Linked DNA regions of Oryzias latipes. The protein of the gene in region 2 purifies or fractionates together with the protein of the main gene of each other region. This does not show direct contact. Links are inferred from orthologs where the notes say so. Each region holds a gene or a part of one and is shown on either strand. Other genes may lie near its edges.

Region 1 (3,759 bases), on a different chromosome or scaffold from region 2:
ACCTGAATGAGAATATTAACAGTACACAGAACAAATAATTAAAACGGGAATATACAGAATTTCCAACAGACCTGACTCACCGTTAAGAACACGAATAATAAAATGTTTAATTGAAACCTTTACCACAATGCTGAAAATAATTTCAGTAAAATGCATTATCAATTCATAAAAGGAAAAAAAATCTACTGTTGTTAAAACTAGGGACTAAGTATTACCCAAAATGATAAATACATATAATTATGCTCCTAAAAGCAAGCAAGAAGAAGGCCGATTTTATTTCTAGATGTCAAGTACTATATTTAAAAAGATATTGAAAGCCTATTAGAATGCCAGAGCTGTATTACCAAATACTGTATATTTTTTGTTTTTACCCTTAGTATAGTAATGTTTTTCTATATTTAATTTTTAGTCTCATTTTGAAAAACCAACATACAGATGGATAAACTGTACTTTATGCAGAGCTATACTAAAATAATATTTTCAGCTCTCGACTCAAGAAAAAAATACAAAATTGCATTTCTCTTTTGACTTTTCAGTACAATTTACCAGAAAAATTACATTCTTTAAATTATAATAGCCTGAAAATTAATGTAAAAAGGAAAAACGGTGTTTTTCCGCTTAGGTTCATCTGTTGAAGTTGTCGCAATGCCTACAACACAAACAAAAGTTCAACACAAATAAATGGAAAGCCAAACGAATTTATGTGCTAGTAACACTATACGCAGCCGTTCAAAAATAAACAAAAATATGGAACTTAACTATCTTACAAAGTACACTGTGTTGTGTATTATTTTTAGAAACCGCGTACAAAGATAAAACGTGTTTTTTCGTAAATCTTCAATCGAAAAGATTTTTGTCAACTGAAAAATACGCCAAAGGAAACTGGTGAGCGGAACTTATGTTTTACTGTTGTTTTCCAAATACATGCGGAGTAGTTTAGCGGATGGACAACTAGCTAGCAAACGGAAACAAAGCCGGACTCTAAAGCAAGTTCTGATGTTACCGAGTCAAACATTTGAGAGTACTTAGAGATAACCTTTCAGTGTTAACATTTTTACAGTCTAGAGCTTTGTGACGAAGATGGGAGTACCCAAATTTTACCGTTGGATCTCGGAGCGCTACCCCTGTCTCAGTGAAGTTGTCAAGGAACATCAGGTAGGACCGAGCAGTCAGGGTCGATTGTTTCACAATTCACACCTTTAGCATAGCTAGCCGTTTGCTACAGTTGGAGGCGAAACTTTGAGCCGCCTTTGCTCACTCTTAAGAGCATTATTTTTGAAAAAATAAATAAATAAATAATGCCACACGTGATAAAATAATTCTAAACGCACGACATACCAGACTGACATTCAGTACGACGTACGTCGTTTATATTCCTACACTAAGTTTAGCGCCCTAATGTTTTATTTGAGTTACTTTAGTGAGTCATACACTCTAAATATACAAATTTTATGAATGTATTGCTTTTTATTTGTAATTTCAATAAAATCTACATATTAATAATAATGAAGCCTAATAATTGTAAACAGGTAGAGCGTTATAATGTTAATAGCTGTTTAGTAGCCATAGTTAACAAATGGTGTGAAGACTTGCACTAGTTTGAACATTTTTTTCTTTTAACATTTAAAAAAATATCAATTTAACGTAAGTGATTCAGATTTTTGAGCGGAAGTTGCTATTTCAGTCTCCAAACAGTCATTTCATCAGACTTGTTCAGTCTGGCGCTCCTTGTGTTGGAAAGCTGTCAGTTGTTTTCTATTTTGTAACTGTTTGGTGAAGGAGAAGTCTTAACCAAAGCCCAACTGACAAAAGTGTGGGGTATTCTGTTTCTTTATTTTTTTAATTTATTTGTTTATTTATTTTTGCTTTTTCGTTTTAAAATTTTTAGAGCAATTTCTTGTAGCTGGCCGGAGGACTTCAGATAAACGATTTCAATAAATCCATAAAAGACGTCATTACTCCCAGTTCCTTAAAGCGTTTTGGGTCTTTTTTTCTTTCAGATTTGGGCTGCTCAATACTATAATAATGAAAATTATTATTCCACAAAATAAAAACTGTAAATATAATCATTTTTTTAAATGACAAATTGGTGTTACAAAAGTAAAAAAAAAACCTGCTCTACAATGGTTTGTGACTGTCTAGGCTTATTAAAATCAGTAAGCAAACACCAAAATTTCAGCTGTGCAAGCACTAAAATCCATGTCAGCTTATTTCCCTAAGTTTTTACTCTCCATTTTTATGTTGTTGTTTTTTTTAAACTATAATTTCAGTAATTGGGTGGCGATTCACAGCGATAATGTTTTGTTTTGAACGATCCGATTCACTGACATAAAATGGATCCAAGACATCTTTAGCCAAAACTTCAACCATTGTCACTCAGAGATAAATACCTGGGCACTGAACGGTGCTGGCAAATGTTTCCAGATTTCTTGTTTTCCTTACAATTTTGAATCAATTTGATAAGTTTTATAGGTCGATTGGATTACCAACTTGCCTCAGACAGATCCATCTGGTTGGATTGTTGGAGTATAATAATAATAAAAATAATAATAAGATTGGATTGGTTTTCTCTGCACTTTTCTAAAATTCAAGGCGCTTACAGTGGAGCGCTTTGAGCACAGTATGGCACCAGTGTAGCCACACTGGAGACTAGGAGGGTGAAGTGTATTGCCCAAGGACACAACAACAGTTGACTGGGGGGGAGCGGGGATTGAACTGCCAACCCTGCGATCATTGGCCGACCTGAATTGCCTTTGATGAATTGATTAAGTTGATTTATTGGTTACACCCCTAATAACTGGGTATTTATTAAATACTAACACCTAAGATTATTTTTGCATCTGTTATTAGTGTTGTCTCCCAGGAATTTGGGACAGGGGATTTCTGGAGACGGTTAAATGTTTTTAGTAGAAAAATAAAACAAATCAAAAAAACAAATTATTAGTATTTGAGAACATATACATGCATGACACTGTATTAATATTATTATTTTTATTATTATTATTTTTTTGCTTTCTTCTCTCAGATTCCAGAGTTCGACAATCTCTACCTGGATATGAATGGCATCATCCACCAGTGCTCCCACCCAAATGATGAGGACGTTCACTTCCGCATCTCTGAGGAAAAGATTTTCGCTGACATTTTCCATTACTTGGAGGTGCTCTTCAGAATCATCAAGCCTCGCAAGGTCTTCTTCATGGCAGTGGATGGTGTGGCACCCAGGGCCAAGATGAACCAGCAGAGAGGACGCAGATTCAGGTAGAGACACAGTCAGAAGCCCAGATATCCATCTTTCTTTTTTCTATCACCAATAATTTAGAAATCAGATTTAGAATTACTTATCTTTGTTTTTTATTGTCATTTCTTTCCCTATTATGTGTACTTTTTTTGTTGAAGCTATTTTTTTTTTAATTCAAACATGCCTTTATTATAGAAACCAAGTCATACCTTGAATCACTTTCTGTTATTTTAACCTCAATCTACCATCTCAAATAAAAAAATGTATTAAGTTATATTTTGTCTTTGCTTTGGCTACTCTGCCTGGAAGACTCCTTTTAAAAATATAAATCTCTTCATTGTTTTCATTGTGCTGGTATTCAGGTCTGCCAAAGAAGCAGAGGATAAGATAAAAAAAGCTTTGGATAAAGGAGAGGTGCTTCCTACAGAAGCTCGCTTCGACTCCAACTGTATCACTCCCGGTATGTTTAATCTGAAGCTTTTCACTCTTTGGTCATCGACCCCATTGGATCAAAATCTATA
Region 2 (2,552 bases):
GGGGAACCCCAAAGCCCTGTCTAAACAGCCTCTGTGGAACAACCTGCTGAACAACTACAAGGAGCAGAAGGTTCTGGTGGAGGGGCCCCTCAACAACCTCAGAGAGAGCCTCATGCAGTTCAGCAAACCCCGTAAACTTGTCAACACCATCAACCCCGTGAGTACAACCTCCTGCACCACTAATTCCAAGGCAGATCGGACTTTTTCTCAACATGAAAATGACAATCCAGAAAGTAATTTAAAATTCAAAATCAGATTTTGTTCATACTTTTTACTAGAAAAACAAAAAAGCATTACATTTCTTTTTTAAACTTGGCTTTATTTGAACTTTTACACACTTCTTAGGGGACTGAATTTGCCAAAGTCCAGCAAAATTATTTTTTAAGTAATTTTATTATATTTTGAATAAACATAATATATAGATGACTGTTAGTTTAGGCTTTAAAGAACTCCAAACTCTTTGTTTGTTCAGGGGGCTCGTTTTATGAGCACTGCCATGTATGACGCTCGAGAGGCTCTCATCCCTGGATCTGCATACGATCGAAGCAGCACTGGTATTTCTACATCTTTTCACATTTGTAAACATTCAAAAATGATCTCAGCAACTGTTGTCGTTTGTAAACCCCGTGTCTTCAAATGCTCTTTCAGCTGGACGTCCGTCCAACATGTACTTTCAAACACACGACCAGATTGGAATGATTGGGGCGGGCCCAGGTCACATGGCCGCTATGAATATCCCCATACCGTTCAACCTGGTGATGCCCCCAATGCCTCCCCCAAGTTACTTGGGTCAGGCGAACGGCCCTGCTGCAGGTAAACCAACCATTGCCGCTCTGCAGAAGCTATGACCTGCAAAAACAACACAGATTTCTTGATTTTGGCTCAAAAAAGGCCTCAAAAAGACACCTGGGAATGCTTTTAAATGTCTTAAAACATGATCAAAGTGGGACTTTAAATACTCAGATTTGTCGTTTTCTAAATGGAAAGGTGTCCAACCCATGAATAGGGTCACTTAGACCAAAGTTCTTCCCTGTTTTTAATACTTGACATTGGCCAAAATTCATTTATCCTGCTTCTTGTGTTTTGCAAAATGGTTAGAAATGATCCTTCTCCTGTTTTTATGAAGGCCGTGGGGCTATGAAAGGGAAGCCCGGGCGCAGCGGGCGGCAGAGGGTCCGCGGCATCGGGAACCAGGGTCCCGGGCAGGTTAACGGACCAAACAGCCAGGTCAGCCAGGATGGGGCCTCCCAGTCTTTCTCTCAGGGGCCGTTGACCCAGGGCTACATCTCCATAAGCCAGCCCTCTCAGATGAGCCAGCCCGGCCTCTCCCAGCCCGAGCTGTCTCAGGTAACCCATGCAGGGTGTATGCATAATACAGATTTTGCATTTTTTAAAGTAGAATCCTAATTTTTATTCAGTCAAATATGTACAGATCATTGAGGAAGTGTCTGGTCTTCTCCTCTACAGGACAGCTATCTGGGTGATGAGTTCAAGTCCCAAATCGACGTGGCCCTGTCCCAGGACTCGACCTACCAGGGCGAACGTGCGTACCAGCATGGCGGAGTGACCGGACTGTCACAGTACTAAAGTGTAAGTCACAAACTGTATCGGGGCACATTTAATTCTATGTCAAGACAAAACTACTTAGAGTTTACTCCGTTTTCAGCGCAAAGACAACACTTAAGGGTTTAATCCACCTGTAAATCTGCAGAACTTTGTTATGAATGCTTGGCTAAAACCTATAATGCAAAAGACCCCTGATAGTGTGTTTTACATCTGGCAGGTTGGCTGAAGAAGGGAGCTAGGCTGGAGCTGAGCTTAGTTCATCAGCTTTTAAATCTGGGAAAAAATAAAAACATAAAATGGATACCTGTTTTCCTCTGCTACATCCGAAGCACCACCAAGTGAAAGCGACGGGATAGCGAAACCAAACCAATGACCAGCGAGCGAAATAAGAGGGTAGAAGAAGAGAGCACTAACCGATGCGCATGGAGATGGAAGGAGAGGCCGCGTGAACAAGCGAAAGGCAGGAAGCGATGCCCGTGGGTAGTGATGGAAGGAGGTCGAGAAGATGGCGGCGTCTGGTCGGGCTGCTGAGGGAAACGTGAGAGATCAACAGTCTCTGAGAATCCAAAAGAGGTTCAGTCCCAAAGAAAATGATCCATGCAACAATGCCCCCCACACACAGTCCCTGTGAAGGCTTTAGTCCAGTTTACTCGTCGTCCGACGAGAATCGAGGCTTTTCAGCGGAATCTGAAGAATTCTTTCTCCAAACCTGGACAGAAATGTGTGCGGGAAGCTTTCAAGCATTCAGCACAGACAAAAATACAAGTCCCCCATGCTGGATGTGGGTTGTCTGATCAACCCGAACAACGTCCAAGACTCTTAAAATTAGGTTAATCGTGGGAAGTAATGTTCACCCGGGCCCTGACTCCTCGGCAGCCTACGAAGGAAGCAGCGGTCGACAAACCTTCTGAGAGAGGAAACAAAAACGCTGGTTTCTGTGCTCGAGTCTGATGTTGAAATACCTTTCACTTGCCTTGAGAACCACT
Region 3 (3,759 bases), on a different chromosome or scaffold from region 2:
CAAAAAAATCCAAAATTGTGGTCATAAAATGCTCATTTGTGTGCACAAAATACCAAATTGTGGCCATAAAATGCAAATTTGTGTGCACAAAATACTAAATTGTGTCCGCAGAATCCATGTACCCTTTCGGGGTCACAGGGCTGCCTTAGCAATTTGTGGGAACCATTGAGCTTTTTGTGCGCTCAAATTAACTCCTGAGACTGAGGCTAACTTCTTGTCTGTTTAGAAGAGTCCTCTGTCTTCCATGTGAGGGGAGGAGAGACTTCTGCTTGAAGGGGCAACATCCCACCATCCTTTCCTGACTGTCTTTCCACCACTAGATCTAAGAGTGTTTGTTTCTGGAGGAGGGATGGGTTGTACTCCGTCCAAGTCCACAGGTATTTGCACTAATGAGCGGGTCTGCAGGGATCTGGACACCTGCTCCACGCTCCTCTCCAGCAGCCTGAGGAGCTCCGTTTCCACACCGGAGAGACCCCGAGTGCGCGCCGAGAACAGCAGCGGGAAGCAGGCGTTTTTAAATGGTGAGACTGATAAAAAATAATTAAAAAAAATTGTCAAATAAATGTTTTCGTCAAAACAAAAATATCTCTACCAGTTTGTAATCAATATTCCTGTCCCATATGAAACTTTAACAAATATGTGGTTTCTCCATTTTGGTTCTGTTTTCTCTAGTTCCCTCTCGAGATGTTCAGGGGTTGTCAGTGATTCGGTCCTCCAGCTTTGAGGGAAGCGCAGTTTCCAGTAATCCGATCACAAGCGATGGCGAACGGATCGCGTAGATCATCATCCCAGCTGCGCGGTAAGAAGAGGGAGCATATGGAGATGAACAGCGTTTATGTCAAAATATGTATTGAATTATTGTTTGCCTTTTTCTTCTACTCGTTACAAAATAAGTGTTAATGAAGGTCACACATAACATCATTATGTAACTAAAGTACTCAAATATATGTTTTCATTAAACATAACACCCGCATCCAACATCGATCTACGCGTACTCTCGCGATAACTTTCGTGAGTTATCGCGAGCACACAGCTCGTAGGAGATGTAGAGAAATGAGGTCTGAAAAGGACCAAATGGCCGTGGACACGGAGAAAAGTGTCGAAATACAATTTAAGGACATTCCAAGAGAGCAGGAGAGCCCAGGTTGCCATCTCAAACAAAAAGAAGAGAAGAAGGAGGTCTTTTCAAAGGTGAGTGAAGCAGCGTTTTGGTACGCGCCGTATTGTTTACTCTTGATGAAGACAACAGACATGGAGGAAGTGGCTGATCATTTCAGCACCGAGGACAGCGAAAAAGACTGTAAATGCACGATTTTCAATCATTTCCACTATGTTTAGCAAATATTTCATCTTTACCTCACAACAATGTCACATTATGTGGCTCCATATCTTTTAAAAATGAAAGACGGAACAAACAGTGGGAGTCAGCAGCCTTTAATACCAAAAGAGCCATTTGGGCTTTTTCTCACGGATTACCTAAAGTCTTTTTTACCCTTTCACATATTTTGACACTGCTCTGCATTCGTATCGTTGTTACTGTTGAAATATGTTGAAATTGTATTTATCCACTTATTTATTTGGCTTGACTAAAATTAAAAGCTGTCAGAGAAAAATTATTGGAAAAAAATGAAATTGTTTTTTTGTTTTTATTTTGATGAAGAATTGCATGTCTTTCTTTTAAATAAAATATATTCTAATAGGGTCATTCCTGTGTCGCTAGTACACTCCTATCAAATTTTAAAACAATGAGTCAATAAAGGCATTTTCTCTTGTTATAACCTAGGTCTTCCTTGGTGGGCACCTTTTCCCTATAACTCCTATTACTGCTGCTGACATATATATATATATATGTGTGTGTGTGTGTGTGTGTATGTGTGTGTGCGTGCGTGAACATGACTTTATTATTTTATGATGCAATAGACAAAATATAGAATCACAGGTACTGGACCTGTGATTTTATAAAACCTAACAAATTTAAATAAATCAAACAGACAAACCCTCACTTTAGGATGTAATTACTATCATTTTATTTGTCTTTAGCCAGCGAGCTACTATGAAAGGTAAAAGACCCACATGTGGGTCTGGAGCTTTAAGTTGCAGACCCCTATTTTAACTATTTCATAATGCTTTCTGAACCCATGTCAATAAATTTAACCTGCTTTGTTTAAAAACAACTGCACTCATTTTTAAGTGGCAGCAGTAATAAAACAGGCCGACGAGGACATGTTTCTATTATTCTTTTGGCACAGTAGACTGTTTTCAGGAATTGAATATTTAAAATGTGGAAACAAACAAGGGTGAGAAATCAGTAAAATAACTTAAAAGATCTTTCCATGTCACTCAAAACATCTTTTTTTTATTTTTTGGTTATTTAATTTTCTGCATATCCTGTTGCACTTCAGGATTTGTTGTCTGTTGACTGTTGCCCATTTTGATGCTGTTATATAGTAGGATAAACATATTTTGAAAACTAGCCAAATACATTTTTAAAAGTATCATACAGAAATACTTTTGTTGTAGCTTTAACTACATTTAAAATAATTGTGTATTCCATGTCATATCCTGCATCTTTCTTTTACAGGTTCCAGTATTTAGTTTTATTAGTCTGCTTAAATGAGTCGGTAATGATTTGAAAAAAATGTTTGAACTTGTCAAGCTTTTGGTCAGGACTGATAGTTTTTTTTTTTTTTTTAAATAAAGTTAATTCTGAAAGTTTGTGGAGAGACTTTACACTCATTGAGAACAGCAGTTAATAACCTTGGAGTAACTGGTTGTACACAGGTTGTGATCAGAAGACTGCCACCTAACCTTTCAAAAGAACAGCTTGAAGAACAACTAAGTCCGCTCCCATCGTATGATTACTTTGAGTTCTTCTCAGCAGATCAAAGGTGTGTTGTGATTTATTACTTGTTTGAAAAACTACTCATTTTTTCAATAAATATGTTTTATATTCTTAATTTTATTTTTTTCCTTCTTTTTTTATTGCAGTCTGTATCCCCACCTTTTTTCAAGAGCATATATCAATTTTAAAAACACTGAGGATATCGTGTTGTTCAGGGATCGATTTGACGGCTACGTCTTTATCGACAACAAAGGTATTGGTTCAAATTTCTTTGACTTTGTTTATAATAACTACAAATAACAAAACACAAACTGTAATATTCTCTGTAGGCACATTTATGGCCTTTAAGTTAAACTATTAACTTGATTATCTGCTAAATAACAAATTAAAAAAAAAAATTTTTAGGTCAAGAATATCCTGCAGTGGTGGAGTTTGCCCCCTTTCAGAAGATTTCCAAGAAAAAACTGAAAAAGAAGGATGCCAAAACTGGAAGCATTGAAGAAGGTACTAAAATGTTCTTGTGAATTTAGCTATTTCTAATATGTTCTTGCTAATTGCTGCATATAAATACGTCTGTGTGAGTTTTTTATATTTAAGACAAATATATTGTTGCTAAAGTAAGAAATCTAAAATGTGAATGTTTTTCTTTAAAAAAAATGTAAACTAAGAGCAATATATATTTGTTTTTGAGTGATGGAAGACCAAAAAGTACAAATTTTGCTCAAGTATGTCCGTCTTTCAGTCTCACCTTCCATTGTTGAAAATTCCTTTCTGATGCAGATATGCATCTAAAATACATTTCCTGATTTATGAGTTTAGTAAATCCATCATCCAAATGAAGCATTGTTGCCAGGTCTCTTTAGCTAGCATGTTTTTCCCCACAATGCGAGTTTTCACACTCCAAGAAAACACATAGT

The links.
Region 1: the proteins of upf1 (region 2) and xrn1 purify together in Homo sapiens (affinity purification with western blotting; 4 studies listed by BioGRID and IntAct, with this or other methods). This does not show direct contact. The link is inferred for Oryzias latipes from reciprocal best matches to the Homo sapiens genes UPF1 and XRN1.
Region 3: the proteins of upf1 (region 2) and regulator of nonsense transcripts 3A purify together in Homo sapiens (affinity purification with western blotting; 5 studies listed by BioGRID and IntAct, with this or other methods). This does not show direct contact. The link is inferred for Oryzias latipes from reciprocal best matches to the Homo sapiens genes UPF1 and UPF3A.

The regions. Positions count from the first base shown.
Region 1 is NC_019875.2:19,744,644-19,748,402, reverse strand, and holds the start of xrn1 (5'-3' exoribonuclease 1), read left to right. Parts: upstream 1-932; 5' UTR 933-1,080; coding exon 1,081-1,155; intron 1,156-3,025; coding exon 3,026-3,258; intron 3,259-3,600; coding exon 3,601-3,698; intron 3,699-3,759. UniProt on the Homo sapiens protein: Major 5'-3' exoribonuclease involved in mRNA decay. Required for the 5'-3'-processing of the G4 tetraplex-containing DNA and RNA substrates. The kinetic of hydrolysis is faster for G4 RNA tetraplex than for G4 DNA tetraplex and monomeric RNA tetraplex.
Region 2 is NC_019862.2:13,859,593-13,862,144, forward strand, and holds part of upf1 (regulator of nonsense transcripts 1), read left to right. Parts: coding exon 1-157; intron 158-472; coding exon 473-554; intron 555-648; coding exon 649-813; intron 814-1,126; coding exon 1,127-1,347; intron 1,348-1,467; coding exon 1,468-1,587; 3' UTR 1,588-1,590; intron 1,591-1,783; exon of another isoform or gene 1,784-1,895; 3' UTR 1,896-2,552. UniProt on the Homo sapiens protein: RNA-dependent helicase required for nonsense-mediated decay (NMD) of aberrant mRNAs containing premature stop codons and modulates the expression level of normal mRNAs.
Region 3 is NC_019879.2:7,278,005-7,281,763, reverse strand, and holds the start of regulator of nonsense transcripts 3A, read left to right. Parts: upstream 1-1,004; 5' UTR 1,005-1,053; coding exon 1,054-1,191; intron 1,192-2,781; coding exon 2,782-2,888; intron 2,889-2,988; coding exon 2,989-3,095; intron 3,096-3,247; coding exon 3,248-3,346; intron 3,347-3,759. UniProt on the Homo sapiens protein: Involved in nonsense-mediated decay (NMD) of mRNAs containing premature stop codons by associating with the nuclear exon junction complex (EJC) and serving as link between the EJC core and NMD machinery.